Tamandua tetradactyla: one gene and its partners. The protein of the gene in region 3 purifies or fractionates together with the protein of the main gene of each other region. This does not show direct contact. Links are inferred from orthologs where the notes say so. Each region holds a gene or a part of one and is shown on either strand. Other genes may lie near its edges. The genes, in order: RPL35A, CD72, PTPN6 and CD22.

Region 1 (8,466 bases), on a different chromosome or scaffold from region 3:
CTCCTCTGCAAGGCCTTTATTAAGGTACTCCTTCTATCCTCTTAAAACTCTCAGACAGGCATCTTATATTCTAAAACTCTAACACCCATTACACACATACAGGTCTCCAACTTCACGTGCTATGAAGCTATTAGGTGACTCCAATTAAGCCCCCTTTCCATTCCAATGCACAATAACCTCCATCGTCTTAAGCATATGAGTACCTCACTTTGGGGAAAGGAGTTTTTTAAGCCAATAAACAGAAATACAAGAGAACAAATTCGTAAATTTATTTATTTACTTTTCAATAAGTTTAAATCCTTGAGGGGTACAGCATCTGGGGAAAGAAAAAAAGAACACATAAATCATTAGGTGAAAGCTATAAATTAAATTTACATGTTATTGAGAATCGCAAATTGGCATGTTCCTTCCTATCTTCCCATTAGGCATCCATTCATTACATTCTGGGGGTAAAGGAACTAGGTTTTTTTATAGCCTTCAGTTTCTGGGAAACATGACTTGGTAAGAAGCAGCACTCTCAAAAAATTAGTAGTGCTCTATTTGGACTCCAAGACTTGGGCCAGAGTCCTAGAAAATGAGCACCAGTTCTCTTCGTCCATAAAATAAGGCCTAATTCCTTAACAAAACTGACACGAGGATGAAGAGATGGGAAAACATTCTTAATAATTTCAGGAAAAATGGGTTGAGTTTTTCTTTCTCTACTGCTTATTTCTGTGCTGAGTAAATACCTTTGCAAGAAAACCATTGATTTAAATACTATGTTTTACCAGGCAGCTTTAGTAAATTCTAAAACTCAGGTACATTCCATTTGGACACTTTGCAACAGTCAGGTGTGCCCTAATATTCATCAGTTCCAAAGTGGCCACTAATATTGCAGCATAATCTACTGGTAACATTGTACAAAGTAGAATCACAGTAGTCTCACTAAACCAAAGGTTATTTGCTAATAATTGTACTTACTACACGGATTCGGTGTCCAATGGCCTTAGCAGGAAGGTTGCTTCGGAATTTGGCACGAACCATGCCACTATTTCCATGGGCACGTGTTACCTTTCCCCAGATTACTCTGGTTTTGTTAGGTTTGCCACCAGGAGTCACTGTGTTGCTGATTTAATTTAAAGGGGGGGGGGGGAATAGCGCATGAGAACTCAGGTAACCAATATAGTTTGGTACAAATTCAAGGCGACTTTTAGATTAATGGCTCTCAATCCTAGTTCCCCATAAATGGGTGGGGGAGGATACCTGGGCTCATTTATCCAAAAAATATTTATTGCACACCTACTGTATGCCAAGCACTTTTTAAATGTTGGGCATACAGCAATTTACTAACCAAAAAAATTCCTTCCACAGGATATTCAAGTAAAAAGCAAATATGTAAAATAGTATGTCACATGCTAATAGCTTCAATATTAGAGGGGAATAATGCAAAGGGGGTTAAGTATGAGGATAACATTTGGGTATAGGGACAGTGAGTACTCAATTTGAAATTGCCAGGGAAGGTCCCACTGAGGTGACACTGGAATAAAGACAGGAAGGTAGAGAAACAAGCCATAAAGTCTCTGGGACAGAGCATTCCAGACAGGAGAACAAGCCAAGTGAAAAGGGAGTTTGCCTGGCCTGCAAAGACCCTAACTGGAGTCAGAAGACTGCACAGTCTTCAGTGCTCTTTAAAGACTTTGGCTTTTACTGAAGAAGATGATGAACCACTGGAGTTTGACCAATATACATATGATGTGACTTATACTTTCATAGGATTACTTTAGCAGTATAGGTGGTGTGAGGTAAGAGACAGGGATGAAACCAAGCCCCTAGAGATATTCATTGGTCTGGGGAGGGCTAAGAATCACTGTTCTAAACACGTAACAGTTTATATAAAAAAGTACATCCTCTATAAAAACCAATTTTAGGGATCCAACAAAATGAATTAAGGCACATGAAATGCACTTTATTAACTCTAAGAAGGATCAAGATATAAGAAATTAGCTCCTTCCTTGAAACAGTGAACAATTATCTTTCTAAGTGCTGAAGATACCTAAACTCAAGACCACCTACAAAAATAACATCCTTCTATAGCCTCCCATGAAGTTCCTTAAATACTCAAAACAAAATCAAAAGCAGTACCAATGACATAACCAACATCTGTAGTTTATTCTTTCAATAAGTAAAAATTCAAAAGTATAACAAGTCCACAAACTTACTTTTTGGCTTTGTACACATAAGCACATCTCTTGCCCAGATAAAATTCAGTCTCATCTCGGGCATAAACGCCTTCAATTTTAAGAAGAGCTGTATGCTCCCTCTGGTTCCGGAGACCCCGCTTATAGCCAGCAAAAATGGCCTTGGACCACAGCCTAAAATACACAAAATAAACAACATTAATCATACACTGTTAGTAGATCTCAGTTAACGGCAGCAAACCACCGGTATGATTAGACTTGTAATGGTTCCCCCTCAAAAACTAACTATAGCAAATACGTACTTTTTACCGTCTATCAGTTTTAAGCTACATTTAAGTTATGCCTAGTAAAAGATTACAAGTACAAAGCAATATTTAAAACTCGTACCTTCCGGACATATTTGCCGCTTTAGAAGTCCTGTTCCCAGCAGGCCTTAAAACAAAAAAGACTCGTTTAAAATCTTGCAACGCAACTCTTCCACCATGCCCCCTTCTCGTTTCTTAAATGTGTTGGACAAATATTTTTTTGATCAACATGTCATATGAGAGAATGGTGAAACGTATGAACCGCAGAGTATGAAAAGACAGCCAATCCTTAATCAATGTCTTTGAATCTAAGTAAACTCCAAAGTGGAGAAAAAAATATGTAAGTCGAAGAAAAACGAAGATGGGTGGCAAAACACACTTGACATTCTGGAAACTCCAGCTGGATACCCGGGAAAAGTCAGTAAACAAAAATTCAGAAAAAAAAAAGACATCAAGTATGCAGAAAATCACGCAGAAAACAGACATACACTGGCTGGGCAGGAAATGTTAGGAAAAAGAGGTTGTAAACAAGCAAAGCTAGATTTAAAGTGGAAGCCAACAGAAAATGAACTCAGCTTACAGGAGCCAATGCCTCAACTGACCCGGCATCCGAAGACGAACCTACTTCATTCAATTCGAGCCCAGCAAGCAATTCCAATTACCCGAGCACCCGTTCTCTGAGCGTCAGGGATCGTTCATCATCGGTCCCGTATCTCCTCCATCCCGTCCACCCTCTTGCTGGAATCCCCAGAAGTCACTGGCTGACAGGGCCTCGGAGCCACAAAGGTGCCTCGCTGAGGTACAGAAAGAAGCCTTACCCCAGTTATTTGACACAAAACCTCAGCAACCAAAGCCTCACTTACCTCCACAGGCTCCAAGATGGCGGAAAGAGAGCGGCGAGGCCCCGCCGCGTGGCCTTGTGGGATAAACACCTCTCCGCCCCGCCCCCAGTTTAGGCATCTTCCGCGACCGCCAGCAACACAAACATCAGAAATCATCTGATAGAAACAAGTCACCGCCAAGAGCACACGTGAAATTCTATTCTCAAGTCCTTTCATCTTTATAAGCTGCAACCTGTATTGTATGGGAACAGAAGGTGGCAAAGTGGTAGCCAGCTGAAGGAGCAGTCGAAAAGGACCCCCAAGGCTTTGGGTTTCCATAGAAACTCCCTAGTTTGGTACCTGCGCCGTGGACAGCCGTAAGTGGAAAGAGAGAAACCGAACCTGAGGATTTCCTCTGGCTTCGGTTCCTCAGTTTTGATTCACGAACATGGGATGTCTTTCTTTCTTACCACACCAGGGTTGGGTAGAGGTGGGCAGACGGAGTCTCTTTCAGATCCTACCCTTAGCTACGAGCACCAAGACAGGAGCCTGTTTCTTTCTCCATTTTTTCTGCCTCATTTCCTCCCTGTACTCCTTTACCCCTTACAAATAATGACTTAAGTTCTTACCTCCATCTTTTGCTTTGTCACTGAGGGTGAGGAGAATTGCCCTGCGGAAGCCTTACCGCCTATTTAGGACGACTGACTTATTCAGCAGCCAGACTGAAACGTAGGGCGCCCAGCATCGTGCCCACACGTAAAATAGGTCCTCAGTAAATGCTTGTAGACCAGAATGAACTGGATTTGTGGTCATCAGAGATTTGCATTTCCTAGTTGTTACGACTTTATTTGGGTTGCCCTATGGATTCATTCATTTATGCAACAAATAGTTTATTGAGTGACTACCATGAGAGCCGAGTAGAGGATGACTCCAAGGTTTTATGAATAAGTGTAAGTAACAATTAAAATCATATCCTCTGATAAATACATCAAGATAAAATTTATATATCTTATAGCCCCCCTGCTCTTCGAACGTTCTCTGTCTCATAATCATGCTTGAAATCCCAATATTTATTTCTCATGGTTCCAAATACAAGTACTCCTGCGAGGAGTGTGAGTTTCATTCATTTGTTCATTTATTCCACAAATACTCATTGAGTACAATGCCTGAAACTAAGGGTACAATAGTGAGCATCATTGTCATGATTCCATGATGCTCATGGAACTTATAGTCTGAAGACGGAAATGGGATGGGGAACTAACAAACAGTAACAAATTATGAGGAAAGTTCAGGAGGAAAATAAGAGTGCCAAAAATGCTTGAGCACAGGAATCAAGGAGCGCATACTTGGGGATATGTCATTTAAGGCATTTTTCAAACTGTAGGTTTCTAGCCATTAATAGATCACTGTCAGAATAATTTTTAAACAAAATATGATAGAAAATATCACAATGTAAGTTGTTTCAGGAAACTTTTGTTTTGGTTACTTGTATGTCTATAAAGATTTATATATGTGTAATGGGTCACTGTATCGATCAGTGTCCTGGAAAGAAACCATTGACATGCTCTAGTAATTTCAGGAGGATATTAATAATAGGTCTGTTTACAAAGGTGTAGGCTGGAATGAAACTACAAGGGATGGTACAGACCCCAGAGACATGGGAAGGAAGTAGTTGCTTATACCCAGGGGCAGAGAACAGTATGGAAAGGATTTCTTGACAGAGGCCATGGCCTTTGATAAAGGGACATAGCCAACCTATTGTGATCTGGCATAGAGGAAGCTGGAAGAAATCCTGACCATACTCTTTATTCTTTGAATCCCATTCTGGAACTTCTATTGATGCACTCCATACAGGTAAGTCTCTCAGGACACAGAGAATGGTAGAAATTGAATCTGGAGAAGCAAATGGAGGATGCCTCACAAAAAGCCAGTAATATAAGCTGGTACTTACTGGGTCAGTGGGACTTTACAAGGTGAAGGGAAGAGTGGTTCAAGTTGGAGGAATAGCATGTACAAAGGCCCTGAGTTGGAAAGGAGTGTGATTCAGTAGAACTGAGAGAAACCAACTGACACTGGGCCAAAAGAGCAAGAAGAGGGCAGTGCTGAGTCTGGAAAGGAACTGAGGGTATGGAACATGAAGACCTTATTGGCCAAATTAAGGATTTCAGTCTTTGTCTTCAGGCAATATGAAACCATTGAATGGCTCTAAGCAGGAGAGTGAGATTTTCAGTTTTAAAGACCATTCATTTTTAAAAGATCACTTCCAGTTTGGAGGCTTATAGATAGTTCAAGCAAGAAACAGTAGCTAGGTTCAGCATTATGTTGGGGTATATGGAAATAGGAGATAAAATCCAAAGGATTTGAAAATGGCTTGGATTGTGGAGAAGGTTGATATCAAGAATGAAAAAGATTGCAGTAATTAGTCCTTGGTTTCTAGAGGAGCCAGAACAGCATGAAAGCATTGGATTCTGCATAAGCACAGCCCTACCTTACAGATGCCAAGCACGTTTAATCTATGCCTCAATCCAAAAAAAAAAGGAAAAACAAAGAAACAGCAATACATCAAAATAACAAAATGTTGCATTACACGATGCCTCTTCCTAGGACTGCCTCTTCCTCAAAAAATTTGACTATTTTGGGGTATCTTTTTATTTTCTCTCAGTTTATGTAAAAATTGTTTTATGTGATTGAAATTTTGCATTTAAAATTTTTATTGCTTGAGATGTGCATTCTCCTTATGGTCACATTATCGTGGACAAAGGCACCATGGAAAATTAAGTATAGAGCAAAATTCTCCATAGAGAATTAGCTTTTGTTAACCTCATTTCAAGAGTTAATTACTAAAAGGCTGTAGTTTACCTGGGAAAGGTACCATCTTTATAGCACTATTAAACTGATTTTCAAGATAATTACAGTTTTTCTAAGTGCAATTTCAGGTGTTCTAACTTTAGGTGCAATAAATTCGGTCATCTGGCAGATCAGGAGAGTGGTATGATTGAATTAAATATACTAATAACCAGAATATAGAAAAAGAAACCTGTTGTACAGAGATTATGAATTTAAAAATCAGAATACAGGTTGGTGGGATGGTGGCTCAGTGGCAGAATTCTTGCCTGCTGTGCCAGAGACCGGGGTTTGATTCCCATACAAAAAAAAAAAATCAGAATACGATAAAAGACCACAAAACCATGTTAGATATTAATTTACCTTAATAAGAGGCTTATGATTCTTTTTACCTTCAGCTTTTGTAGACCAATAATTAAGTTTACTACTTAGCAGACATACCAAATGATATCAGCAGTTCTCCCATCTCTGGGACTGTTCTACTAAGCAAACAAGGGAGATAATCTACAGCTCTTACAATTCTTTAATTTTTTCTTAATTAAAGGGCATAGAAATCACTGAAATGTCAGACAACATTCCCTAAAACTAATTGATATTTCCTTTCCATTTTCAGGTGACTGCATTTTTGTGAGATTATACTTGTGCCATGGAGGGTCACAATACTAACCCAAGAATGGAAGAGTATGAGTATGTTCAAAGATTTTAATTTTTAAAAACTTATTTTACATTCTCATTAGCAGTGAATAGTGTTGTGATTTCTCCTTGTAATTTTCTTTTCTTTTTTTTTTTTTTTTTTGTGGATAGCCATTCTGGTGGGTGTGAAGTGGTTGCTCATTGTATTTTTTTTTATTAGAGGAGTTGTGGGTCTACAGCACAATCATGCATAAAATACAGGATTGCCATATACCACCCTATTTAACACCTTGCATTGGTGTGGTACATTTGTTACAACTGATGAAAGCACATTTTAATAATTGTACTTTTAACTGTACTCCATGGTTTAACTTAAGGTTCACTGTCCAAAATTCTTATTTATTTGGTATATATTTTTTTAATTATGTCTTCTGTTATATTTTTGTTAGCACTAGTTATCTACTACTATGTACCAAATTACTCTGAAGCCCAGTAGCTTAACACAAACATTTATGATTTCAAACAGTTTCTGTGAATTGGGAATTTAGGAGCACCTTAGCTGTTTAGGTTCTGGCTTGGGGTCTCTCATAAGGCTGAAGTGGGCCAGAACTGCAGTAACCTGAAGACTTGACTAGTGCAGGAGAATCTGCTTCCAAGATGGTTTATTTATGTAATTGACAAGTTGTTGGCAAGAGGCCATTAACCTCTCCACAGGCTTGTTTGAGGGGCCTTATTGGCAAGGCATCTGGCTTCCCAAAGGGTAAGAGATCCAATGTCTTTTGTTACCTAGCCTTGAATGTTGCACTCCGTCATTTCCACAGTATCCTCTTGAGTTACATAGGTTATTCAATGTCAGGAAGAATACACATGGGCTTGAATACTAGGAGGTGAGAAGGATCTGGCCTGCCTTGGACGATGCTTACCACATTCTGTTTTACATTAATGAGACAAATTTCACTTAGCATCTGAAGATGCTGCTAGGAAAAAAAAAGTTAATTTTGACTCAAATTCAAATTGGTTAAGCATGGTCAAATAGCATGAGCTACATATCTTTATTAAACAATAAATTGCCTTTGGTTGGTAGAATATCACTAGAAGATAGCAGTTAGAAGGTAGTTGCAGACTCCTATTTCTGGTTTTCTTCTAGGTTATATGACAATGTGAACTTCACAGGAGCTAATCTATATGCTATTTGTGCTTTTAGGTTTAATATTTCAACATCTGGTGCCTAATATTTTTTCTTTATTCTTTCCTAGAGGGCAGCTGGAAGTCTCAAACCTTCCTCCCAAAGTTTGGCGTTCTGAGGTGATGGTGTCAGTGACAGGAGAACCACCTAGTGCTATAGAACAAGAAGAAATAGTCCAAGATACTGTTGTAGAAATCATCCAGGAAAATACAGAGTCACTCTCTCTTCTAGATGTACTGAGGATCTCCACAGTGCTGGAGGATGCCATAGACCAGCTCTCTATTCTAAATTTTATCATGCCAGTTCAATATGAAAGAAGTCAAAGCACTAGCATGGTACATGCACTCATCATTATTTTTAATTTCTGCTTTCTTCCTTTTTTACTTCTCCATCATTTAGAGTGCCTACGCCATTACGTTTAACTTGGGAAACAGCAACTTTAACAGAGATGAAAGACTAGGCTAATTTCTGAGATTAGTACTATACTCTCTACTCTCAAT
Region 2 (7,962 bases), on a different chromosome or scaffold from region 3:
GGTCTGGCATCCTGCCTAGAATGTCAGCCTGCTTTGGCACACTCTCCCCTGTAAGTATCTCTCTACCCCATTCCCACATACAGGCTGGACTCCTGCTTTCAAAATGGATGCTTTCAAAATGGGCCACAGTACTTGCCACCCACCTCACTGTGCATGCCACCCGTGCGTGAGAACTTCAGCTGCCTTGCACTACCACCAGCTGCACTTCATCTGTCAGTAATTCTTAACCTTTTGGAGAGAAGGGGTCTCAGATTTTGGAGAACCTCATTAAAGCTATGGACCCTTTCTTTGGAAAAATGTGTAAACAACCAATTTCACATCCAAATTCAGGGAGTTCACAGATCCTTGACATGTAAAGCCAGATGAGTTTACCATGCTGCTTTGGACAGTGTGATATGGATTGCTGGCTGCCACCCTCCTTCTCCCTCCATGTGGTCTTCCTAGAGGCACCATGTAGCTTCATCCTTCTCCCTGTTGGCTAAAGCTGCACAGCTCATGTCAGCCACTACTCTGGTTCACTCCCCACTTCCTGATCAACTCAACGCCCTGTGATAGATAGGACTAGTGTCCCCTTGCTTCAATACATCCCTCCCAGCAGACCCTTCCCATCTCTCCTCTCTCCAGAGCAGATACCTGGTGAGGGACATCTGAAGTAGGGTTTCAGAATGTCATGTGTGCTGCTTAGCCTCTGCTCCAAGTTGTTCCTTTGCCCCTCCTCACGTCGCAAAATCTCCTCTGTCTTCTCCCTGTTGGACTGGCAGACCTGTAACTGCCCTTCTGCAGCCTGGTGACTCCCTTGTTCTGCCTGTAATGCTTCCTGACTCTGGGCCAGCTTCTTCTGGAACTCCTGTAGATCCTGTTTCCTCTGCCCCAGCTCAGTTATCTTTAGGTAGAGCTGCTTCCGCAGGCTGCTGTTAGTGCCTTCCAGAACCCTGTTGACCTGCTGAAGCTGCTGAGATACTTGCAGATCTGTTGGCCACAGAGAGTAATTTGGAGGGCATTTCCAGCTGCGCCCCAGTATCCTGAGACTTCAGCATCCACTCTTTTTTTTTTTTTTTAACTTCTTGTAACTTATTGCACAACAGGCTGAAATATAAGATTTGACTGCCTAAAGTTTAAGGAGGTACTGGATTAGGTAAGGATCCTTTAGGCAGACACAAGTGCTCTAAGCCAGACCTGGCTAGAAACCAGACCAAAGGCTAAGGAGGACAAGGACGGACGTGATGGTAACGACTATGGGCCCTGCTGAGGAAGGGTGGCTGTTGGGGAGTTTAGGGAATAAGTTGTTTGGAAGTGAGTGGGCAATGGGGGTGGAGGGATGGGGGATGAAAGAGCAGCCAGTACTCACAGCGCACTCCCAGGCAGATGGAGGCCACCCCTAAGAGCAGGCAGGTGAGGAGCAGGCCCAGAAGGAAGTATTGCATGCCGGCTGCACAGCCTTAGGAAGACAGTGGAAGGAGGGCAGTCAGTCCCAGGAAGTTACACAGTGAAGGGCTGGCAGGTGGGGGGCATTCATGAAGAAAGAGTATCCCTAACAGGAGGGGTGCAGGGTTGATGAGGGAGGAGTGTGGTGGTTTTTGTGCGCCTGTGGGAATATTTCACAGGCAGGGGAGGGATTGGGAACCCTTCCCCCCTGCCCCAGGAATCCCTCAGAATAAGAGCTGGGGATTGTTGCTGATAAAGAGAATTGAGGGGCATTATCTGGTAGGAGGAGGCACGAAGCCTCAGACTAGCGGGTTTTGGGGCCATCGTCTGCTGGGGGTGGGGGTAGGGGACGGTGTCCAGCCTGGATCCACATGTCTAAATGATAGACATGAGGATGGGCGTAAGGGGACAAGGGAACAGGGTCACCATGTTACAGGGGTGGTGCTAAGGGTTGCTCCCTGGGCTCGCTCCCGAGGTCATACCTGCACACTATGGGGCCCAGCACTTTCCCAGCCCGGACAGAACAGGCATCAGCGCCTTCCCCCCCCCACCCCCACCCCCCGACTCTTTCCCTGGGACTCAGAGTCTGCGAAGTGGGGAAATGTTCCCGCAGCGATCGGGCCTTCGGCGGCCTCACCCCCAAGTACTCGCGCGCGAGGCCAGCAGCAGGTCACGGGCGCGCGGGGTGGGGAGGGCGTGATACTCACCCGGGAGATTCCGCCCGGCAACAGGTGACGTCATCGAGCTCCAAGCCTTAGTTGGCTGCTCTGATTTAACCCCTGCTGAAGGAGACCAGCTGCAATTTGTAGATGCGAAACACCAGAGAGGGACCTTTCTTCCGTTCCTCTTCTCCCCTCACTACCACCATTACGCTGAGACCGCAGTGTGTCCTGTGTTGCACTCTATGAATCTTCTGGGACACCTCTGTCACCCTCAGGAGTTCTTCATCTCCCTGGGGACTCTCATCTCCCTGGGGACTCTCATCTCTCGATTGGGGCTCAACTGTGTTTTCCCCGGGGTCCCCCTCATCTCCCTACTGCGTGTCCCTTGATCTTTCCCTCAGGGATCCCCGTATCTCCACACCACCACCCTCTCTCTGAGGTTGCTCTCCTCCCGCTCCGGTTCCCTTTCATCTCTCTACTGTGACTCACAGCAGGGCCACGCCATCACTCCCCACATCCCTCATCTCCCCACTGGGGTCTCCCTCCTAGCCCCTTGGATCTTTATTCTCTGCCTGGTTCTTATCCAGAACTGCCTTATCCAGTTCTTATTCTCATCTTTCCTAAGACTTCCTTCCCTTTCCCGGAAGGGTATCACCTTCCCAAGAATCCTGTGGGAATTCCCAGCCCAAGACACAGTCCCCCACAAGCACACATCCCCTGGGCTCCCCATACCTGCTTTGTCCCCTAGTCCGTAGGGCTCCAAGCTCGGAGGCCCCACTGGGGCTGAGGGCACTTGTACATTCTCATAGGTGATTTCCCCATCTTCATCAGCTCCTGGGTCTGGAAAGGAGACAGGCCGGGCTCAGGGGGGTGGAGTCTGTGGGGTGGGGACGGGGTCATAAACGAGGATGGGGATACAGACAGAATCAAGGAGATGCCTCGTCCACCCTTACCCTGTCCTAACCGGCTGGAGACGTTCTTCTGCAGGGGAGCCTTCACAAACCGCAGGTCTGCATAGGTGATGGCTTCAGCCATGGTCCTGAATGCTTCCACTCCCTGCCTTGTCCTTTGTCCCCAAGCCTCCTTTGCCACTCTCCTCTCTGTCCCTTCACACTTGTAGGCTATGTGTTTCTGCTGTGGCTGCTCAGCTTGGCACTTTACCCAATGCCTTCCAGTCACAAAAGAGGAAGGTGTGAGCAAGCCTCAGACAGATGGGTTCAGTGAAGCAATGGTATGTCTGGGCCGGGGCCAGAGGGGCTGGGGAGGGGAAACTGGGCCCAGAGCATGGAGCAGAGGATGGGCCTGTCCCAGGCCCCCTGTCATCTGTCCCTGCATCCTGCCTGTGTTCCCTCTTCGTGCATCCTAGACCCACTTTGGTGATGCTGAGCTCCAAATAGCTCTCCTTCTGATTGTCTGCCCTGATCTACCCCAGCCTCCCCTCCTGGCTGCACTGCCTGCTGGGACCTATGATTTATAGTCTCTTGTGCCCAAATAATCCCAGAGAATATCCCCAGTCATTGCCTGGGGTGTGGGGGGAGGGGGGGAACCTTGTCTTTTTCCCACCAGTGCATCTCTTCCCAGAAAGAGACTCCTTTGTGTGGTGGATTCCCTCATCAACTTGGGGACTCTGGGGGCTCCCTCCCTGCTGTAGCCCTGTAGAACCTCCCAGATCACACACATACACAGGGCTGCTGTCACGGAAAAGCCTTCCCCGGGAATGTGGCAGCCCGTCCCAGATACAGAACACCAGGGACCAAATGCTTCTCTTCTGACGGCGTCCCCAGTCCCCCATCAGGTCTTTGCTGCCCTACTGTGGTTGGTCAGCCTCATCCTTTTCCCAGCCTGCCCCTGCAGCCTTGTGTCATCCTCTGTGTCCCTACATCTGAACTCGTGCAGTACCCAACAGGCAGAGCCTGGGAGGCAGAGGCTCAGGAGTGGGCCTGGGCTGGGGGTGAGGATGAAAAAAACAACCACAGGGACCTCAGCACCTGCAGCAGTACTGCTCGTGTCCCTCTGGAAAAGCTTGTGGTCGCATTGCCTTCTTCTCGTACACCCTCGTGGGAGAGCAAGGAAAAAAGTTTCCTGCAGTTTCTTAAAGGTGAGGCAAAGAAAGGAAGCAGGGCGGGATGCTGGGCATGCAGACTCTGGACTAAGCAAGGATATTTTCTTGGTTTGGTTTTAGTTTCCTCCTTATTTTCCTAGTAAAGTACTTGCCGGAAAAAAAAAAATCCAGCGTTGCCTCCTCACACCGTGGAGAGGATGCGGTGGCTAAGAGGCCTCATAGGTGCTGAGGGCCCAGCTGATGGAGGAGAGAGGGAAAGCCAGGGAGGGGAGAAGGGGTGTCAAGCAGTGGTGCCGAGGTGCTCCCTAACATTATTAAGAGAGCGTGCCCCATTCCAGGGAACCCCAACAGGGCCTCCTTCTGGGGGTTGGAAAGAACTCTGGGACAAGACGGCGGTGTGGAGGTGGGGAAAAAATACCCACCCCAGCGGATGACATCTGCCCCCTCAAAAACCCCTTCTGCAGCTGTGGGGAGAAAAAGGAAGGGGGAAGAGGTCCTAATGGCACGCTAACAGCTCATACTGTATGAGTGGTGGTGTGTGGCTTGGCGCTGCAAGGGGTCCTGTGGGTCTGTCCGGAGAGCTGCCCAGCAGCCCCGCCCCGCCCTGGGGAAAGTGCCCATGGGGACAGAAGCACACATTTGTCGCCTGAGAAATGTGTCTGAAGGAGAGGCAGGGGTGTGCCTGTGTGCGCAAGTGTGCCCCGCGCAGTGCCAGCTCTTTGCGGTCTGGTAGGAGTGCCTGTGCTAGGTGAGCAGCTGCGTCACAGCCTATCTGGAGGGTTAAACCTGCAGAATTCTGGGGCCCGAGGGGTGCTTTTGAGAGATGTTCTTTTCTTCTGGGGCAGGGAATGACAGCCATTTTAAGAAAAGTCTTAAAAGGTCATGGCCACAGGTTCTACAAGTATTTCCTTTTTAAGGCTCACTGTTTCCTAAGGTGTCAGTGCAGCTGTTAACGGTCCCTGCTTGATTAAGATTTCCAGCAACCCCCCCACTTCCACCCCGCACCCTCTCCCCATCAGAGCCGCCCCCAGATAACAGAGGCTGTGTGCTGGTGACTCCCTGGGGACCTCAGGGACACATGAGAGTGAGTGGGAGTGCATAGAGCAGCTGCAGCAGGGACAGGTGGGGACAGTCTTCTTGTGTCTGTGGGTTATGGAGGTGGGGGCAGGGGCAGGCAGCTTGTGTGTGAATCCGTTGAAAGAACACTTGCAGGAATCCCCTAAACATAATGAATGTCCCCGTTTTCAAAACAGATGCACAGGTGACCATAATCTGGATGCCAGATAAAATGCCAAAACAGAGTTCCCAGTATGCACTGATTAAAGGAGCCAGTGGGCATGCGGCCTGCCTTGACTCTTCAACAGGTTTAAGAAGTGGGTACTCGGATGAAACTGGGTGAGCTTAATTACACACCCAGCCCCAGAAGAAGGAGCTTGCCTTGGATGTCTCGATCAGGCTCAGCCTATCTTTCTCTTCTTTTTAGTCCTTTAGGTGATGATTACCTGTCTATTCATGATGTTTGGCATTCCCTTCTGTCTTAGGTCACTTTATAGCCTGCTTTGTGAATAGGGTATATGTGAAAGCAGAGTTCGTCACCTTCCGCCTATGTGCCGTGTGGGATCTTTGCAATATTGACATTCACGTGACCTTCCAGGCTGGTCATCAGAAAGGACACCTGTAATTTCCTACTGTCCAAATATCAGGAACCCCTGGGGGTGGTTAAGAGTTGAAGTTCAGTGCTGCATACCTTAGCTTTCCCAGGACCATAATATCATCTGAGACCCTAGGATACAAACACCAAAGCCGCTTCTTGCCCTTTCCTGGACTCTTCACTGCTTGTTACAAGGAATGCGTTGTTACAGTTAGGATTGGTTGCATGTGACAGAAAGCCAAAATAATAATGGCCTAAACCTCAGAGATTATTTCTCTTTCTTGCAAAAGAAGCATGAGTTTAGACATTGCTACCTATTATAACTTGCCAAACTCCAACCAAAACCATTCCAGCCAATCCTAAAGAACACCTAGGGCAATATATAAGATTCCACAAGTGTTCCAGGCACTAGGGTAACTTTCCAGAAACCTACAACCTCCAAATGGGCCTCTGACCAGATAAATATTGAAACCTAAAGGGCCCAACCTCTCTAAAACATCAGCTAATTCCATCTCTCTATCCCATATTATTGACAGCCCCTTCCAAAATGAAAAAAATTAGAATGGCTATAACCCAAATACCCCTAAAGAGTGGGATAGAAAGATCAAAGGTGATGGAAGAGTTATACAGAGAAGGTAGGGTTTAGAAACGAATATGATTGCTGAAACATTAAACTGATATTTCTTTTAGTCTCCAGTATCTTAGAGCAGCTAGAAGTAAAAACCTAAAATTGTGGAATTGTAACCCACACCAAACTCTGAAATCTTTTCTACAACGAATTGTAGTTCTGTGGTTTGAAACTGACTGCTTTTATATATATATGTTATTTTTCACAAAAAAGAGAAATAAAAGTTGATTGTGATGATAAAAAAAAAGGAATGGGTTGTTAAGGTACACAAGAGGAGGGCATCAGGAAAGAATTTGCAACATGGGTAAGGGTTCATCTACATAAACTTTGGTGAAGTCCAGCCAACATCAGGAAGTCAGGGAAGTCTCCTTAATCTCTGAAAATCTTCACTACTTTACCCCCTGACCTACTGACAGGGTGTAGTAGGCAGAATAATGGCCTCCCAAAGATGTGCATACTGAAATCCCTGGTAAACATGTTACCTACATGGCAGAACGCAGGTGTGGTTATGTTAAGGGCCGTGAGATGCGGAGCTCATCCTGTTTTAGGCCCATCTGATACATTAGTTCTTGAAAGGGGAGAATCTTTCCTGGCTGTGGGAAGAGAGAGACTCGATGATGGAAGAAGGTCAGAGAGATGCAACACGAGAAGGCCTCAACTAACCCGCTGCTCCCTTTGAGAATGGAAGAAGGGGCCCTGAACCAAGGAACGCAGTCGGCTTCTAGAAGCTGGAAAAGGCAAGGAAGCAAATTTTCCCCTAAACCCTCCAGAAAAGAATGTAACCCTGCAGACACCTTGATTGTAGTTCAGTGAGATCCACGTTGGGCTTCTGACCTACACACGCTGTAAGGGAGTAAATTCTTCTTGGTTAAGCCACTAAGTTTGCAGTAATTTTCTATAGCAGCAATAGAAAACTAATATACAATGTTTTGACAAGTTCCCTGAACTGTGGAGGAAACATGATGTAATGGAAAGAACACAATACTGGGAGTAAAGAAACCAGCCTTATCACGGTATGTGACTTAAGACAAGTCACAATTTCCAAGGTTTTCATCTTTAAAATATGCAATCATTCAGGTAATGTCTGATATCGGTCGATGGTGTGATTGCCGGAAACATAATAGGTCTAGACTGTGGCAAAGGCATCTCTAAATGTCCGTAACCATAGCTTCAGATTCAGGAGGGAGAGAAAGAGGGGCCCCTGCAACTTTTTGAATTCCTGAAGTCAGAGAGTGCTGCTAGGTCTCCAGTGACTTGCCTCCGGGCTCTCCTTGGTCCCGTCTTGAATGATGACATGGAAAACACATTTGTATTTACTGATGGCACAAAGCTAAAAAGAAGAGCAAATATCTGAAAGGCAAACTCAAGATTCGAATGTCTGCAGCAGGGCAAAAAGATGACTCCAGACCACAGAATGAAATTTAAGAAGAATGAAGTGTAATAATTTAATAAATGACAATGGCTAGCATTTATTGAAAAATGAAATTAGGGGTTAAAAGAAAAGTACCTAAGCATAGGATGGAGGGAGTCCTGT
Region 3 (7,730 bases):
CACAGTGGATATTCTCAGGGCCAGTTAGCCTCTAGAGCTTTAGAAGCCCTTAACATTTAAAGCCTACGATGTTCCCTGTATGTAATCCCAAAAACATACACAGACAATACCCAAGTAAAGCAAGAGGAAATCCAACAAAGGATGGCCAAGAAACTCACATGCACGGCTTCCTCTAGGGAGGGAAACTGGGTGGCTGGCAGACAGAGCTGGCAGGAACACTTATACCTTTTTGAATGTTGTATCACGGACATGTATTACCTCCCGGAAAATAAATAACTTGACTTGGAGACAGCAATTTCTGGGAAACTTCTGAGGTTCTAGGAATGTTTCGTATCACATTAGGCACATTATTATGTGTTATACGACAATAAAAAAGTTAAGGACAAATAGTAAAATCTACAAGTCCAGCACATATCTGGTCCAGTGTAAACGCCCACACATGAGCACCGGGTCCTGACCACATGTGAGACCTCAGCTCCGTGCTCAGCACCAAATACCTCCTGCACCCTGGCTCCACCCACTCTCTCTCCTCAGCTTAAACCTACTTGTCGGGAAAGATCTAACTAAGCGTCCAGAAACTCCTGACTCATCAAAGATGCAGGAATTTATCTGAAATGTGCACAGTCAGAAGGTAGAGACACAAAGAGATGGACAGTCAGTCTCTGCTGCCCCTTGGCAGGGAAATTTTAAAATAATAACCCCCAACCACTGAGTAAGGCCTGAAACAGATGTTCTTACACCAATGTTGATAGCAGCATTATTCACAGTTGCTGAAAGGTAGAAGCAACCCAAAACCCAAGTGTCCGTCTACAGATGAAAAGATCAGCAGAATGTGTTCTATCCATACAAGGGAACACTGTTCAGCCATAAAAAGGAATGACGTCCTGATACACACGACCACATGGCTGAACCCTGAAGACATCATTTTGAGCAAAATTAGCCAGACACAAAAGGGTAGATATCATATGATTTCACTTATGTGAAATAACTAGAATATGCAAATTCATAGAGACAGAAAGTAGACTCCAGGTTCCTGGGGCAAGGGTGGGGACCGAGGAGTCACTGCTTACTGGGTAGAGGGTTTCTGTCTGGGGCAATGGAAACATTTTGGTAATGGACGGTGGCGATGGTAGCACAACACTGCTAACGTAATTACCACTGATGGTATACTCGAGAGTGGTTAAAATGGGAAATTTTATGTTGAATACATGTCACCACAATAAAATTTTTTTTAGGAAGAAAGATAAAGTTTGATAGTTGTTCCATGCTCTTGAGTTAGCAGAGCATTTGCACGTGCATAATCCTATTTTGGCCATGGATGGACCTGTGATGTAGGAATATCTTCTACGTTTTTGAAGGGGAGGAAACTGGCTTAGAGCAGCTGGGAGTTACATATTAAGAGCCTGATAATTCAGAACAGAAAATTACTCCTTTGGGAAACAAGGAGATAAAAGCGGAGACCAAGATCAATGGTGAGACCTAAAGACAAGCAGTCTGAAAGGGCAAAGGGCAGACGAGGTGAAACAACTTCTAGAAAGTAGTTTAACTCCTCTGAGTCTCAGTATCCCCACCTATAAATAGGCTTAATGATATTTCCCAAACACTGATATAAAAAGCTGATAGGTGATAGCTTTCAGGGCCAACAGATTTTACATGACATTATTAATCCTCATGTCTACCTTTTAGTGGGTATTGATAGCTCAACTTTGGAAATAAAAACTCAGGTGCAGAGGGGTTATGTAACATGCCCAAGTCACAAGCTAGTAAGAGGGAAGATGGACAAACCTCGACTGATGCCAGGACCCACTGCCTTTTCCACCACACCAACCATACTCCTGGAGAAGGCTTCATGGAACAGGTGGGGTGGTCACTGGAACAGTCCATGGTAGAAAAGGAAGGGGGCAGGCATTCCACAAGGGGCAGCATCTGCAAAGGCCCAGAGGCAGCAGGCACAGAAGACACTTGAGGGGCAGTGCTGGACATGAGCTGAGCAGTGTGGCTTGAGCAAAGTTGGCCCGAGAGACTGGGACCCAGCTGCAGATAGCCTTCCCAGGCCAGGCCAGGGAGCCAAGGAAAGGTTCTGCAAGGGGGAGGCCATGCCAAGGTGCCTGAGTGTGAAAGGGATCAGGGACCAGAGACCCCATAAGAATCCTGTCTGTGGGGGTTGACAGCAAGGAGGGTGTGCAGCAGGGGAGGCAGTGCCAACAGAAAGGAAGGGGCAGATGTGAGTGTGAGAAGCATGGACCCACAGGACTGGGGGTGCTCAGCAATGCCCAAACTTACCAACACTCTCTAAGCAGGACTTCACTTAGAAAAGGCACAGCCTGCCCTGGCCCTGCCTGCCTTTCCTCCAATTTACTGGGCTTGAGGCATTCTGTCCTTTTGTTGTTTGTTTCCACATCAGTACCTGCCATTCCCTCGGCCCATGGCGGGAGCTTGACCTCCAATCACCACATGGCTGGCTGCCTCTTCTTCATCATCCAGGTCTCAGCTCAAAGGACACCTCCTTAAGAGAAATCCTCCCTGATCCCTGCAGCTAGTAATGCCCCTGGCAACCCCAGTCACTTGCAAGCACTAGAGCAGTTTCTTTTTTCTACATAATCCCTGTAAGGATCTAAAATTATTTTGTTGGGTTGATTGCTACATGGTGCCTCCTATTAGAAGGACATGAGAGCAGGAGCCGTCCGGGTCTTTGTCACTATTGCATTGCCAGCACCTAAGCAGGCCCTGGCACCTAACAGATGCTCAGTAGTCTCCTATTGAATGAATGATGTGAGAAATGGGAAAGTTCAGGGCAACTGAAAGGGAATGGAACCAAGGCCAGAGGTTGGGATGTGAAGGGGAAGTTGAGTGGGAGCAGGAACGCTTTTTCAGGTTTGCCTTTCAGGCTTATGTTTGAGACAATGTGGTTACCCAGGGCGCCAGCTCTCATGGGCAATGGTGAGAATAGACAGACATCTGTGAGGCAGGAGAAAAGGGGGCAGGGGGCATGAATGCGCTTAGGAGTCCTCACATCCTGGGGAGGGGGACACACTGGCACAGGAAGCAAACCCACAGAAGGTCCCACTCATGGTCACATACCTGCCCCTCCCTCCCAAACTTACGGAAGCCTGGGGACTTACGTAGACAGGGGACTTACCCACAGGACAGCATGTCCCTGGAGGGATGGAGGAGTCACAGGCAGTGGGCCGCAGGGGGTGGGGCCAAACCAGGGGCAAGCTAAGCACAGTGGCCCAGCCAGGAGAGGAAGTCGCTCAGAACTCAGCCACTTCCTCCTTAATCCCACCCGCCAGGCCAATGGCACTGCTAGGATAAGCCCCTGGACTAATGATCCCCGGAGAAGGGACAGGTGGGGCGGGGCTGGCCTCAGACCGCCCACAACAGCCCGCTTCCCCTCCAGCTCCACTCTACTGTCCCACAGGCCTGCCTGCCTATCCAGGGCCTCCTTCCCTTGGGAGGGAGGAGTCATCTGGCGCTCCACCTGACAGGACAGCAGGAAGGCAGGTGCCGGGAAACCAGGAAGTAGCCCTGGCAAAGGGAACGTCAACCAATGGCGGAAACTCACAATCCACAGAAAGCAATGAGGCGATGTAAAAGCCCTGGAAGTCTAATTCCTCAGAGAAGGAAGTGCCACCACAGTGCAGGCCCACCTGTCCTGGTGTCAAGGGTACCAGCCCATACTCTCACCCTGTGGGCGATGGGGAGGATTGAGGAGCCTGAGACCCTCACCTGCTCCAGGTGGGAGGCCAGCAGAGCACAGAGGAAGGATCTGGATGAGAAGATGTGGGGCAGCCTGGAACGGAAAGGGAATCAGGGGACAGGAGGTGGAGATTGTCAGGATCACAAAAGACTGACGCAGAGGCCAAGACACAGGCACGTTTATTATCCTCTGGAAACACCAAGGCCTTCCCTTCCCAGACAGCAGCACTGGGCAACAGGAAAGGACCAACCCCCTCAGGAGGCAGCGATGCTGCCACCAGAAGCAGGCCCGTGGGGCGGCAGTGTCATGGGCGGCAGGAACAGAGCCTTCAGCTTGCCTGACAGGCTGGCAATTTCAGGATCCTGGGCTTCATAGGACTTGACCAAGCGAGCAAACTTAAGGACACCTGCAAGAGGGAGTGGAGAGTTAGCTCACGCCTGGGAGGGCTGGACCAAGACGGCAGGAGGGGGCAGTTTGAACATGCCTCATAGGTTGCTCCCCCACTACCAGGGAGCTGTCTGAAAAACAGGACACCAGCTGGCCTCTATCCTGTGTGGTTTGGATCAACCACTTCCTGGTCTACACTGGGCACAACCAGTTGGGAATACAGTGAATGAAACAATCCCAAAGTAAAGTGCTCCTCGCTCTCAGGTGAACCATTTTAACAGTTAAGTCACAAGAGCCCTAGTATGAACGTCCACAAGATCCCAGGTCTGTTACCAACACAGGAGATCACAGGACAGCTGGGATTGAATCACACAAATCCCCAAAAAGATATTAGCTGAAACACTGTGACGGGGGCGCCAAACATCTTGTGGTTGTCACACTAAACTGCTAGAAGTCCAGTTCTGCTGCGACTCTGGGCATTTACTTTACAGATAGAGTCTGTTTCTTAATCTTACAATGGGATAATATAATGTTTAACAGGTAACCACAAAATGGACTTCAGACTTGGGTTGGCACAATTTGAGGTTAGATCCTTGGCGTCAACACTGCTGGGTTGTGGCCGCCGCCCTGTGGCGAAAAGGGGCACGACGGCAAAGGGGCACGAGCGCCCCACCACCCCTCTCCCCGACCCACCCCCATACCCCGTCTACCCACCTTCCCCGTCGCAGCTAAAACCATAAGCCTTGATGACCTCTTGCTGGATCTGCGTAGCCACGGGCAGCACAAATTGCAGCATCTTGCCCATGTCGTTGCACGCGTTGTCCCTAGCTTCGTCCATACGTACAGCGTTCTCCGGGGCCGAGAACGCCTGGATCACCTCGGCTAGAACCACTGTGCGCCAGGGCCATCCAGGGAAGAGCCCGAAGGAGGCGGTGGACCACCGTGGGTGGGTCCGGACAAGAGAGCAGGAAAATGCGCCAGGAATTAGTGGGCCGAGGCCATCGGCAGCCCACCCGATAAACTCGGCCCCTAATCCCTACCTTCAGGGGGCAGGACCCCACTCAGGAGCAGGAGACAGCACCCCGCGACAGCTCCATCCTCTCTCCTCCCATCCTTCCCTCCTACCCCCGACGATGACAGCCACTATTGTCTCCCGATCCTGCACCCTCATCCTCCCAACAGCAGATGGTCTACACGAGTAACTGGGAATGCTTCCTCACCCTTCGCCTGTTCGGCGCTCAGGGGTGCGGTTTGGGCCGAAGCAGCCGCCATACGGACGAATTGCTACGGATATAACGTAGCGAGGGAAGGAGCGGGAAGTAGGAGCCGACTCCGAAAGCTGTTCCGTGGCCAGAGGTGGTTTGAGAAAAACTCAACCTACTGCAACCGGAAGTTACTCTCGCATAACCTTTAACACTCCACGGCGGGATATGTAAGACCACCACACAAACACTACGGAACCCACAACCAAACAACCGAATTTCTGTAAACCTAGCTCTATTATTTCGAACAAAAACGAGGGTTTTCCGGCTAAAGCCAGAAAACCTACTAGACAAATTCTAAAAGAGCTGCAACACCGATAACGTGTGTCCTGGAGAGAATAGGAATACCTTCGGACTCCACTGTTGATGAGGGTGAATTCGGAGCAGAATTGTTTATTTATTCCTAGTTCTCATTAATATATAATCCGCGAGACATATTGGCACTCCCATGAAAAAAAAGCAGTATTCTGAGGAACTTATTTAAATCGTTCATTTCTAGAGTTTGTGAACGGTTTTCCCGAGCCTATGCAAATGAACCGACACTGATTGGCTGAGAGAACAGCCAGTCACACCCCAACCCTGAATATTTTTAAGAATGAAGACATCGATTTGGCTCAATAAAAGCCTGGAGTAAGCGCAGTTTTTGCATTTCCCTAAAAAGGCTTTGTGCAGGAATAGGTGCTGCAGCGTGACGCGTTTACTTACCTTCAAGGCTTTTCAAATTGCCAGCCTCTCCTTCTTCAAATCCAAGGGTAATTAAAGCTTCGGGGTTCTTGACCTATTTGAGATTAAGCTCACCTCATCCCTATAATCATTTCTCCAACTATTCCATGGAAAGGATGCAGGATTCTGAAATCTTTGTTCCAGAGGATTTTGGGGGGTTGCAGCTGTGGGACCAGAGTAGTTTTCTAGCCAAGCCACGTCAGAGGTTGGCCCATTCCAGGCCTCTAATAAGTGTCTTCCCCAAGCTTGGGGGAAGAGGGAGCGAGCACTGAGTGGGGAGTGGCACCCCCCCAACGAACCCATTAGTCTTCCAAGATCCCCTCTCCAATTCGGGGTCCCCACACCCAGTTCCCTCAAAAGGTTCGTCTGTTCCCACTTGCTGCCAGCCTCTCCAGGCACCGCAGCAGTATACCGCACCACCAGCCCCCAAAGCCCGCAAAGAACCAGTCGCAGCCATCTTCCTCGAGAGTCGTGAGGATATTTTTGTTTGCTTGGTTTTGGTTGGGATGTGTTTTAAAGAGCGTCATATAGATATTTATATATATAAATTATTAATATGGGGAGGGACGAGGGGGATACATCGCAGGGGGCGCGCGCACACGGGGATTGGGCGGGGCGGCACACGATGCTACTCAAAACAGCCACGTCTAACAGATGAAATAATCACACCAACGGGATGGGGAGGGGCCGTGGCCCGGGGGTTTGGGTATGGGGGAGAAGGAAAGCAGGGGATAAAGAAGAGGGTCCTGGTCCAAGATACTGTGCGCTTTCTGCCCCCACCCTGGCCACCTCCCCACACATTCCCTCCCTCTGCCCAACCACGGAGGTCCTGCAACTGAGCAGCACTCTCTCCTGGGCTCTGGGTGGCAGGCTGAGGGGGGGCCTCCAAGGTCCAGATGCAAGGGCCGTGGTACTCTCTTGGTCACAGATTCTACAGTGGCTTGTCACTTTCCTTCTTCAGGTGACTGGGGATGGGGGTAAAAGCAGTGAGTAGAGACTCCAGTTGACCCTGACCTGACCCCTCCTTGCCCAAGTTCCCTACCCCAGCATGCCTACACCCATCTCCAGGCTGGCTGAGCCCACTTGCCCTCCCTCCTGGTTCAGGTGCCCTATACCTGTAGTAGTCCTCCTGGGCAGGTAGCGGCACACTGTGCAGCGGGTGATGGGCATGCAGCCACTGCTGCTGCTCCAGTGCCAGGCGCTGCAGCTCCGCAGACTGCGCGTGCATGGCCTGCAGCTGGTGAGCTGCTGACATCGGGGCAGAGAGGGAGGCTGGCAAGTCCCGGTAGGGGGCAGCTGTAGGCAGGAAGGGTAAGGGGCACATGACTGATGGGTACTGAGTACCTACTCTGGGCCAAGAGACAGCTAGCTATTTTACATTCGGAGGAAACCAAGACCAAAAAAGTTAGGTGACAGACCCTGCAGGTTGTCAGTGGTGGAGCTCAACCTCTATAGCCTGGCACTAAAACCTTCTCCTCTCTGAGGCAATGCCTCAGCTTGCCTATGCCCATTCCCAGTTCCTCTACGTACCTCCTCACCCCTCCCCAAGCTCAAACAGACCAACCCCACCATTCAAATTCCTCCTTCGTGCCAATTTCTCATTAGCTCATCCCCACCCCCAACCTCTATCCTTACCAAAGAGCTGGTGACGAAGAACT
Region 4 (7,498 bases), on a different chromosome or scaffold from region 3:
ATAGATATGATAAAATGACTTACAACTGTATACACATTGTAGCCATGTCAAATTCCTGGCTTTGATACTGTATGCAATTAATGTAACAAGTAACCATTCAGGGGAAATGAGGGAAGGGCATAGAATCCTCTGTTCTATCTTTGCAACCTCCTGCGAATCTATAATTATTTCAAAATAGAAAGTTGTTTATTGTTTGTTTGTGTTATGCAGCAATCTCAGTGAGGGACTTGAGGCCAAGGGGGAGTATCATAAAGATCTCCCAGACGGAGGACCGACCCAGCAGGGTCTTTGATCCCTGCTCGTTGCCTACAAGGAGCATCTGAGGCCTTTGCCATACCCAGCTCTAGACATTGCTCATGGTCTCACAACAGGAGGAAACTGGGCAATAGGTTCATGGACATGTTGCAATTTCTGGAAGCAAAAGGCTGAAAGGAGAAGGCAGGGATGGGGGAGCAGGACTTCTGAGACAAAAGCTTTGATGTCTTCCTTCCATCTTTCCCCCTGAAGAGGTAAGTGGTCTCCTTTTGGGTGCCTTGATTGGGAGGTAGTGGAGTGAAGCCAGTAAGAGTGCAGCGTGAGACCTGGACACCCCCTCCCACCACATCCCTCACCCCACTGTGTACCTCTCTGAGCCCCCTCCCCAGGGCTCTGTGACAAGGGTCAGGATGGGGTTTCCTCATAGGCTTACCAAGTCACCCCTCTCAGCAGCAAGCACAGCATCTGATCAGCTTGTGGTACACAGACCTGGTTCTACTCCCAGTTCTGCTGTTTCTCAACTGTGGGTCCTTAGGCTGGTGACAGCTCCTCCATTTGCCCACCTCCAGGTTATGGTGATAGCAGAAGTGCCTACCTCATGGGTGTGCTGCGAGAAACTGTGGGCACACAGGGCACTCTGCACAGTGCCTGTCATGGACTGAGCTGCCATTGTCACTAGTTCTGCTGACCAACACATGCATGGTGACGTCGACACACATACTTTGGTGACACAGCCTTGCCTGAGACCAAGCTGTTGTTTCCCTCCCACATCCCAGAGAAGATGTTACAGGCAGACCGAGGCCTGGGAGTAGGCAGAGGTTTTCTGTGTGGCTGCTGCCCTGCCTGGGAATGAGCACGGCCAAGGTAAAGCAGGCCAGAGTTGAGAGCGAGGAGGGTGGGGTGAGAAGGAGGTGTGGCTACTGCTGAGCAGCCACCTGAATCCCCACATCTGGTCCACCCCCATCCCATCGAGAGAGCCCAATCCAGCCTGAATCTGACTGGGGAGGAGACTCTGGAGTGGCCAGCATCAGCCTGGATCCCTTTCATCAGTGAGGATAATGGAGCTGCCTGCCCCAGGCACGGTCCTTGGGACAGGATGGGGGCAGGCCAGGGATGGGTCGTCTCAGCCAGGGGTGACCCATAGGTTGGTGGGAGGGGAGGGACAAAGAGGTCCCTGTCATGACCCTGGCCTGGGCTTGGTTGTCCTGCCTCCAGTGTGGGGCAGCCTATCTGTCCCCAAGATCTGAGACTGTGAGACCTGCTCATCTTTGTTCCAGCCTGCTGCTTCTTAGCTGTGCATGAGTCACTGGGTCATCGGTTCTGACTTCCTCAGTTTGCCAGTCCCCAGTGCCATCAGCCTCTCTTGGGCCCCTCCCCAGGAACGAACATGGCCAAAGTAAAGCACTTGTGGTCTCCACCCAGCACATTCCCTCCCCGATCTTCAGCATCTTAGAAAGTGGCTGGAGTCCCCTCTGACTCCCCTCTTTCCCTCACCTCCAGGGTTAATGAATCCCACCAGCTCTTCCTCCAAAATGGATCCTGACCCCGTCCCCTTCTCTCCATCTCTGCTTCCTCTCACAGACACCTGTTATGGAGCCTTCTCTCTGCTTTTGCAGATCACCTCTGCCCATTGTCCACAGGACTGCTGGCAGGGTCTTTAAACCTCAGGCACTCCCGCCCCCAATACTCTACAGTGCTTCCCCATTTCACTCCGAGTCTGCTCATGACCCTCAGCCAGCTGTGATCAGGCTTTCTTGGGCCTCCACTCCTACCCCAGTAGGCATGCTCCTTCTAGAATCCACTTCCTGAATCTACTTCCTTCCAGTCTCCACTCAAGTGAGCTCCCTCTCTGAAACAGTAGCCTGGCCCTGCACCCTCCGTGCTTCTCTCCTGCTTAGTTTTGGTTTCCCTCTCTTCTGACTGGCTCTAACCCTGATAATCTCATTGTGTCTGTCACATCCAAAGCTTGTCAGCCCCGTGAAGGCAGGCAGTGTGTCTGCTCAGTGCCTGCTGGATCCCAGAGCCCAGCATCGGCCTGAGGCGCAAGCGGGCAGTCAATCATCCCACGTGCATGGGATGCACAGTTTGGGGGGATGAGTGGACAAAGTCCAGGAGTGTGATGTCTTCAGCTCAGCTCCTGCTTGTGTCACTGAATGTCAGGTCCTCCTCAGAGATGGTCTGTGAGTGGAGGACTTCATTGGTTCTCAAACTTCAGGTCTTTGTCTTTGACCATCTTGACCTTTGCCCTGTGAATCACCTGCAACATTTTATTTCTTTAAATGTATTCATTTGATTGCTTTTTCTTTCTTATTCTTTTTTTTTTTTTTTTTTTGGTTAGTCTCGCCCTAAGTTTTTAGCACATACACACAAATTTACCAGTTTGGTAAGCCGGTTTCCTTTTGCCAAAATGAAACATAAATAGTAAGGTAAAAGGAACCTTTCCACTCCCCTCAGCTCATCTCAGGCACCAGCCTGACCCTCAGACCTCACTTTGGGCAGCTCTGGGTCAGCCGCCCCCACCCCCCCCGCCCCTTGTTGTTGACGTTGCCCAGCTCCTCAGGGCGAAGTCCTCAGCAGGCATCGCTGCCGGGCCAGACCTGCCGGAGCCAGGGTCTGTTGTCAGGGACAGGTGCTGAGTGTGTATGCGGGAGGTGGGGACAGTGCAACCACCCCAGCCACCGCCTCTCCCACCTCTCTCCCCAGTGCCTCCGGCCTTGTATTTCACCCAACTCGTTCCTCGAGGCCTTCAGACAGGGTGCTCCTGTGCCAGACTCGGGGGGGCTTCTACCAGGATTCCCCTCCCATAGGGTAGTTTCTCCTGACCCCAAAACCCTGCCCATACTTACTTCATCTGCTCTGAAAGCCCTGCACTTCCCCTTGGGTGCAGAGGTCACGAGTTGCAGGAAGGCGTTCTGTGTGAGATTATTTATGTAATGTCCCTCTCCTTGCCCAGACTGCTAGTTCTGAAGAAAGGGCAAGCAGCAGGCCAGGTTGGAGCAGGACTCAGAGAAGGGCCTTTGGATGGATGACCTCACAGAGGGACCCTCCCCGACCATTCACAGCCCAGATACCACCTCACAGCCTCCTTTCTCCTGTGTGTGGCCTTTCTATTCCAGTCCAGTGGCCTTGTCACCATCCCTGCCCAGATGGCTTCTTTATTCCCATCTCCGGGCCTTCTCTTTAGTCTCTGCCCTGGATCCTTTGCCCTCTTCCATAACCAGTGCAGAACTGCCTTCCTTGGGAAATCCTTCCCTGGTTGCTTCCAGTCTTCCAGCTTTATTCTTCCTGCTCCCTCAATGCCCCAGCTCCCTGCAAGCTCTGGCTCCTTCTCACCAAAATGGCAGTCAGCACTCACAGTGGCAAGAGCCAGGGCTCCGGAGCCAGCTGCTTGGCTCTGCTCTGTGCCCCACAGCTACCAGCCAGGGTGATCTCACACCCTGCCTTGCTCCAGGAGTTCTAAGTTCTGAACTCTGACCGTTTGCAGCCCTAGGTTTTCTCTCTGCCTCTAGGGCTAGCTTGTGTGAGGAGTCTTTCCACTCTCACAGGGATGTTTGATGCTATATGGGGCAGGCTCCTTGGGACCTTGAACAAATGAATGTTTGTTCTAGGCCTCAGCTGCCCCAGGAAGGGAATAACGGTGTCATCTCCTAGTGGTTCCCAGGCATCAGAATCACCTGGAGGACTCGTTAAAACACAGGTTGCTGGGCCCACCCCAGAGGTTTGATTCCTTTGGGATAGGCTGCACATTTGCCTTTCTGACAAGCTCCCAGATGACACTGATGCTGCTGGTGCAGGGACTATACTTTGAGAACCATGGCCAAGGTTGGTAGGGCATGTAAGTGGGTTAATGGAAAAGTGGGTAGAATTACATGGCACATAATCAGCACTCAACAAATGGTGGTCTGTTTTCGAGTCTAGTCTGCTTTATGTTCCCCTTTAAGAAAAAAGAAAAAGGATTTTCAAGCAGAAGAACTGAGTCCTGTATCTGCCTGCACCATCTCTTTGCTCTGGGACCCTGGGGAAATCATCTAGCTTCTCTGAGCTTCAGGTTCTCACTTTCCCAGGAGGTCTAGGGCCCAGGACACAGCAGGTGCCTAATTCATGTTTCCTGAACCAAACGGAGTGAGATTTGGAAGACTGGAGCTGCACAGTGCAGCATGAATCTGAGGAACAGCTCAAGAGACCTGGGTTCCTACCCCCCATCCTGCAAGCGCCAGGAAGTAATGTCTGGGAGTGAAACCAGCCAGGCGTGGAACAGCAGGTAATGGTAGGGACTGTGGCACCTGGAGAGCCCTGTCCCTCCAAGAGGCAGCGTCCCTCTGTGTGCAAATGTGGGCACAGATCTGTCTGCAGCAAAAGTTGGAAATGAGGTTCAATATGGGGAAATCACTCAGCAGTCAATCTTAGAACACTGTGGGCCAGACTCTCCTGCAGGCGACAGCTCAGAGTGAGCACTCCTTTAGGGTGACTAGCCTGGGCTTAGGGCTAGAATCCCTGGCCCTTACTCCTCCACTGGGCCCAGCTGAGGGCAAGAAGAGAGGCTGTGATCATTCTGGAGGCCATGGGGAGACAAGGTCCCTCAAAGGTGTATCTGAAATCATCAGGATTTAGACAAGTGTGTTTGGCTTCAGGGCATTTATTTCATGTCCTTTTGTTGAGGCCCTAGGGCCAGGTGTGAAGGTGGGAGACCAGGCAGGAATGGCAATAAATAACACGGACAGACAGAACTCCCCTCCAGACAGATGAGGTTAAAAGAGGTTAGAGGGGAGCCACAGTGTGGGGTGGGGGTGCTCAGGGAGGAGGCGGCTGGGAAGGAGGGGGAGGCCAGGCCCCCAGGACCTTGTTGTCACCTTCCCCAGCCTCTTCCTTTCCCAGTCCCCTTTACTTTCCGGAGGAAGGGGGCCCGCAGCCAGCGGGGGTCAGCGAGGGTCCTGAAGGGGGGTGGCCACCCGGGCTGCCCCCGGCTCCCTCACTTGACACGGATTTCAGCATACTCAGCTAGCTCCTCCGTCAGGGTGTAGCTGTCCTTGGTGGGTCGTTTTCCCAGATCCGAGTGAGAATAGCTCAGGTCTAGCTCTGGGGGCTCCCCCCGAAGGCCCAGCAGCCTCCTCTCAGATCCCAGACGCCTTTCGCTCTGTAAGGGGAAGCATCCTGTTGGCAGCATCCTGCCCCCACTTTTCCGAAGCAAAGGCTGGAGTTCAGGCCCAAAGCATGAACTCAGCCAGCCCAGGCTCTGTGTGACTCTTTTTCCCCAAGGACGGCTCCGCCTTGCTAAACCCCTGACATCTGACCCTCTCAGGCCCTTGTCTGTTCTGTTCCCACCACACTCAACAAGCTCCTCGTAGCTAAATTTGAGATTTGCCTAAACACTCTATTTCTCCACGTGGTTGGGACCCCGCCTTTCCAGGGATGTCTAAATGCCTTGTTACATCAGTCCTCCCCCTAGGCTTGAGTCCGCTGTGGCCCCCTCCTCAATCTGGGAAACATTGTAGGTGTACCTTTGGCTTCCCATCATGCATCCCTTCCCCTCCACCCACCCCACGCAGACCTTTGGGTACACACAGGACAAAGGCCACAGACGAGGGAGCAGCAACGGGACTGAATAGACAAGGCTGGGACTGCTGGCAGGGGCAGGCTTAAGCCAGGACCATTCTGAACGGCTGACGAGGACGAACACACACGGAGGCCCCAGAACCTACCTTCTGGGGCTCTCAGTGACTTTCCAGGGGAGAGACCTCTCTGGACTATTGGAGAAGGAAATTCAGTCACAGCCCGGGCGGGCAGGTGGGGACCACAAGGGCGTCCCTTGGGCCCCAGGGCCCATAGCCTCAACCGGGAAGTCCAGGTAGCCATCTACCCTTCCTCCCCATCCCGGCTCCCCTTACCCGCTGAAGCTTCCCTCAGACCCCAGCCTCCCAGGCCCTCCCAGGCCCTTGGTGTCCCTGGCTTCTGGTTCCCAGCCAGCCTGGAGCTGCAGGACTCTGGCCTCACCTCATACTTCTCCGGCGCCCCAGAGATGCGAAAGTCGCTGCTAAACAGGACAGGGGGGTTGTCCCCGGCCGAGAAGCTGGGGCTCTCTGTCACGTTCTTTCTGTAAGGCAGGACATGTCAGCCCCCATGGGAACCCCCACCCCTGTCTATTCTCTTTTTGCACCCCCATCTACCTAAGGGCTTTGGCCCTTGGGCCCCTTGAGTTTCCCCATCCTCTCTCTAAGATAGAGCAAACAGGACCTCTTCCTGTCCAAGGCTGCCCCATTCCTCCCCTGCCTGGGGAGTTTCCTGCCCTGGCTGAGGATGGGCCACCAGGTCCCCAGCTTCTGTCACTTCAGGAGCTCAGCCTGGCTGTTGTACATTCTGCATCTGCCTGCCCTCATGCTGCCAGGATGTGCAGCAGGGAGGGAAATTCATTTTCAGAACAGCTGATGTGGTGTCCCACCAGGAAGAAAAATCACAGCAGCATTGTGTGGGTGAGGTTGGGGCTGGGGAGTGCTTCTGTTGCCTCCAATGTGTGTGATTCTTGGGGGTCCTGGAACATGCTGGGCTGCAAGTCAGGGATACCTGGGCTTTCTGCCTCACATTAGAGGGTATAGGGGAGAGTTCCCAGAGCTCAGAGGACATGGGCAAACAGGTCTGGATTTGAGGAACGTGATCAGCTCAGGGACCGGCATGCCTCTGACCAACAGTGACCCTGTCCTCAAAGCAGGAGCCACCCTCCCCCAATACACAGGGCTGTCCACTCCTCAGCCTCCAGCCACCCTGGAAGAGCCCCGCATCTCCAGATCAGCACTGGCAGGCATACTCACTTTCTGCGTGTCTGGGTAATGTAGCAGACGATGGCTATAAGGATGGCAAAGGCCACCACAGCACCCACAGGTCCAATCTTGGCCCACATCAGTCGGTCTGGGGACAGAGAAGACCCCGGTGCCCTCAGGACTGCTAGTGGTAAGAGGACACCTGGGTTCTTAGGAGATGGGCTGGGGCAGGGGTGAGGATCAAAATATCCGTGAAACTGACCTGCTGTTGCACCGAGCTACCAGCAGCCCCCTCCACCCGCCACGTACTATCAAGGGCCAGGGAGCAGCCAGCAAAGTAGAAGCAAACTCAAGGTAGCTGCTCCTTCCCAGCTGGACAAGGAACCTTTACCATGTCACTTATCTTCATAGCCTGACCCTACTCAGTGTCTGGTCGGCAACCCCTCCCCAACTGCAGCTCCCGCCCCAATGCCACGCCACTCACGGGCTCC

Evidence for each region.
Region 1: the proteins of PTPN6 (region 3) and RPL35A purify together in Homo sapiens (affinity purification with mass spectrometry; 3 studies listed by BioGRID and IntAct, with this or other methods). This does not show direct contact. The link is inferred for Tamandua tetradactyla from reciprocal best matches to the Homo sapiens genes PTPN6 and RPL35A.
Region 2: the proteins of PTPN6 (region 3) and CD72 purify together in Homo sapiens (affinity purification with western blotting; 3 studies listed by BioGRID). This does not show direct contact. The link is inferred for Tamandua tetradactyla from reciprocal best matches to the Homo sapiens genes PTPN6 and CD72.
Region 4: the proteins of PTPN6 (region 3) and CD22 purify together in Homo sapiens (affinity purification with western blotting; 5 studies listed by BioGRID and IntAct, with this or other methods). This does not show direct contact. The link is inferred for Tamandua tetradactyla from reciprocal best matches to the Homo sapiens genes PTPN6 and CD22.

The regions. Positions count from the first base shown.
Region 1 is NC_135336.1:18,702,630-18,711,095, reverse strand, and holds RPL35A (large ribosomal subunit protein eL33), read right to left. Parts: upstream 3,115-8,466; 5' UTR 3,092-3,114; coding exon 3,063-3,091; intron 2,610-3,062; coding exon 2,565-2,609; intron 2,352-2,564; coding exon 2,199-2,351; intron 1,106-2,198; coding exon 961-1,105; intron 317-960; coding exon 293-316; 3' UTR 246-292; downstream 1-245.
Region 2 is NC_135328.1:60,158,979-60,166,940, reverse strand, and holds the start of CD72 (B-cell differentiation antigen CD72), read right to left. Parts: upstream 3,278-7,962; 5' UTR 3,123-3,277; coding exon 3,041-3,122; intron 2,928-3,040; coding exon 2,820-2,927; intron 2,208-2,819; coding exon 2,133-2,207; intron 1,439-2,132; coding exon 1,349-1,438; intron 970-1,348; coding exon 634-969; intron 1-633. UniProt on the Homo sapiens protein: Co-receptor of B cell receptor (BCR) that plays both positive and negative roles on B-cell functions. Recognizes the Sm/ribonucleoprotein (RNP) self-antigen ligand, and coligation of CD72 and BCR inhibits BCR signaling.
Region 3 is NC_135333.1:69,240,961-69,248,690, reverse strand, and holds the start of PTPN6 (tyrosine-protein phosphatase non-receptor type 6), read right to left. Parts: upstream 3,379-7,730; 5' UTR 3,154-3,378; coding exon 3,140-3,153; intron 1-3,139. Other genes in the region: C7H12orf57 (protein C10), read right to left, coding at 3,955-4,106, 4,802-4,978, 5,308-5,359; ATN1 (atrophin-1), read right to left, coding at 7,004-7,037, 7,188-7,368, 7,708-7,730. UniProt on the Homo sapiens protein: Tyrosine phosphatase enzyme that plays important roles in controlling immune signaling pathways and fundamental physiological processes such as hematopoiesis.
Region 4 is NC_135342.1:30,854,116-30,861,613, forward strand, and holds the start of CD22 (B-cell receptor CD22), read right to left. Parts: upstream 3,297-7,498; 5' UTR 3,102-3,296; intron 2,513-3,101; 5' UTR 689-2,512; intron 1-688. Other genes in the region: MAG (myelin-associated glycoprotein), read right to left, coding at 5,225-5,389, 6,247-6,346, 7,059-7,155, 7,492-7,498. UniProt on the Homo sapiens protein: Most highly expressed siglec (sialic acid-binding immunoglobulin-like lectin) on B-cells that plays a role in various aspects of B-cell biology including differentiation, antigen presentation, and trafficking to bone marrow.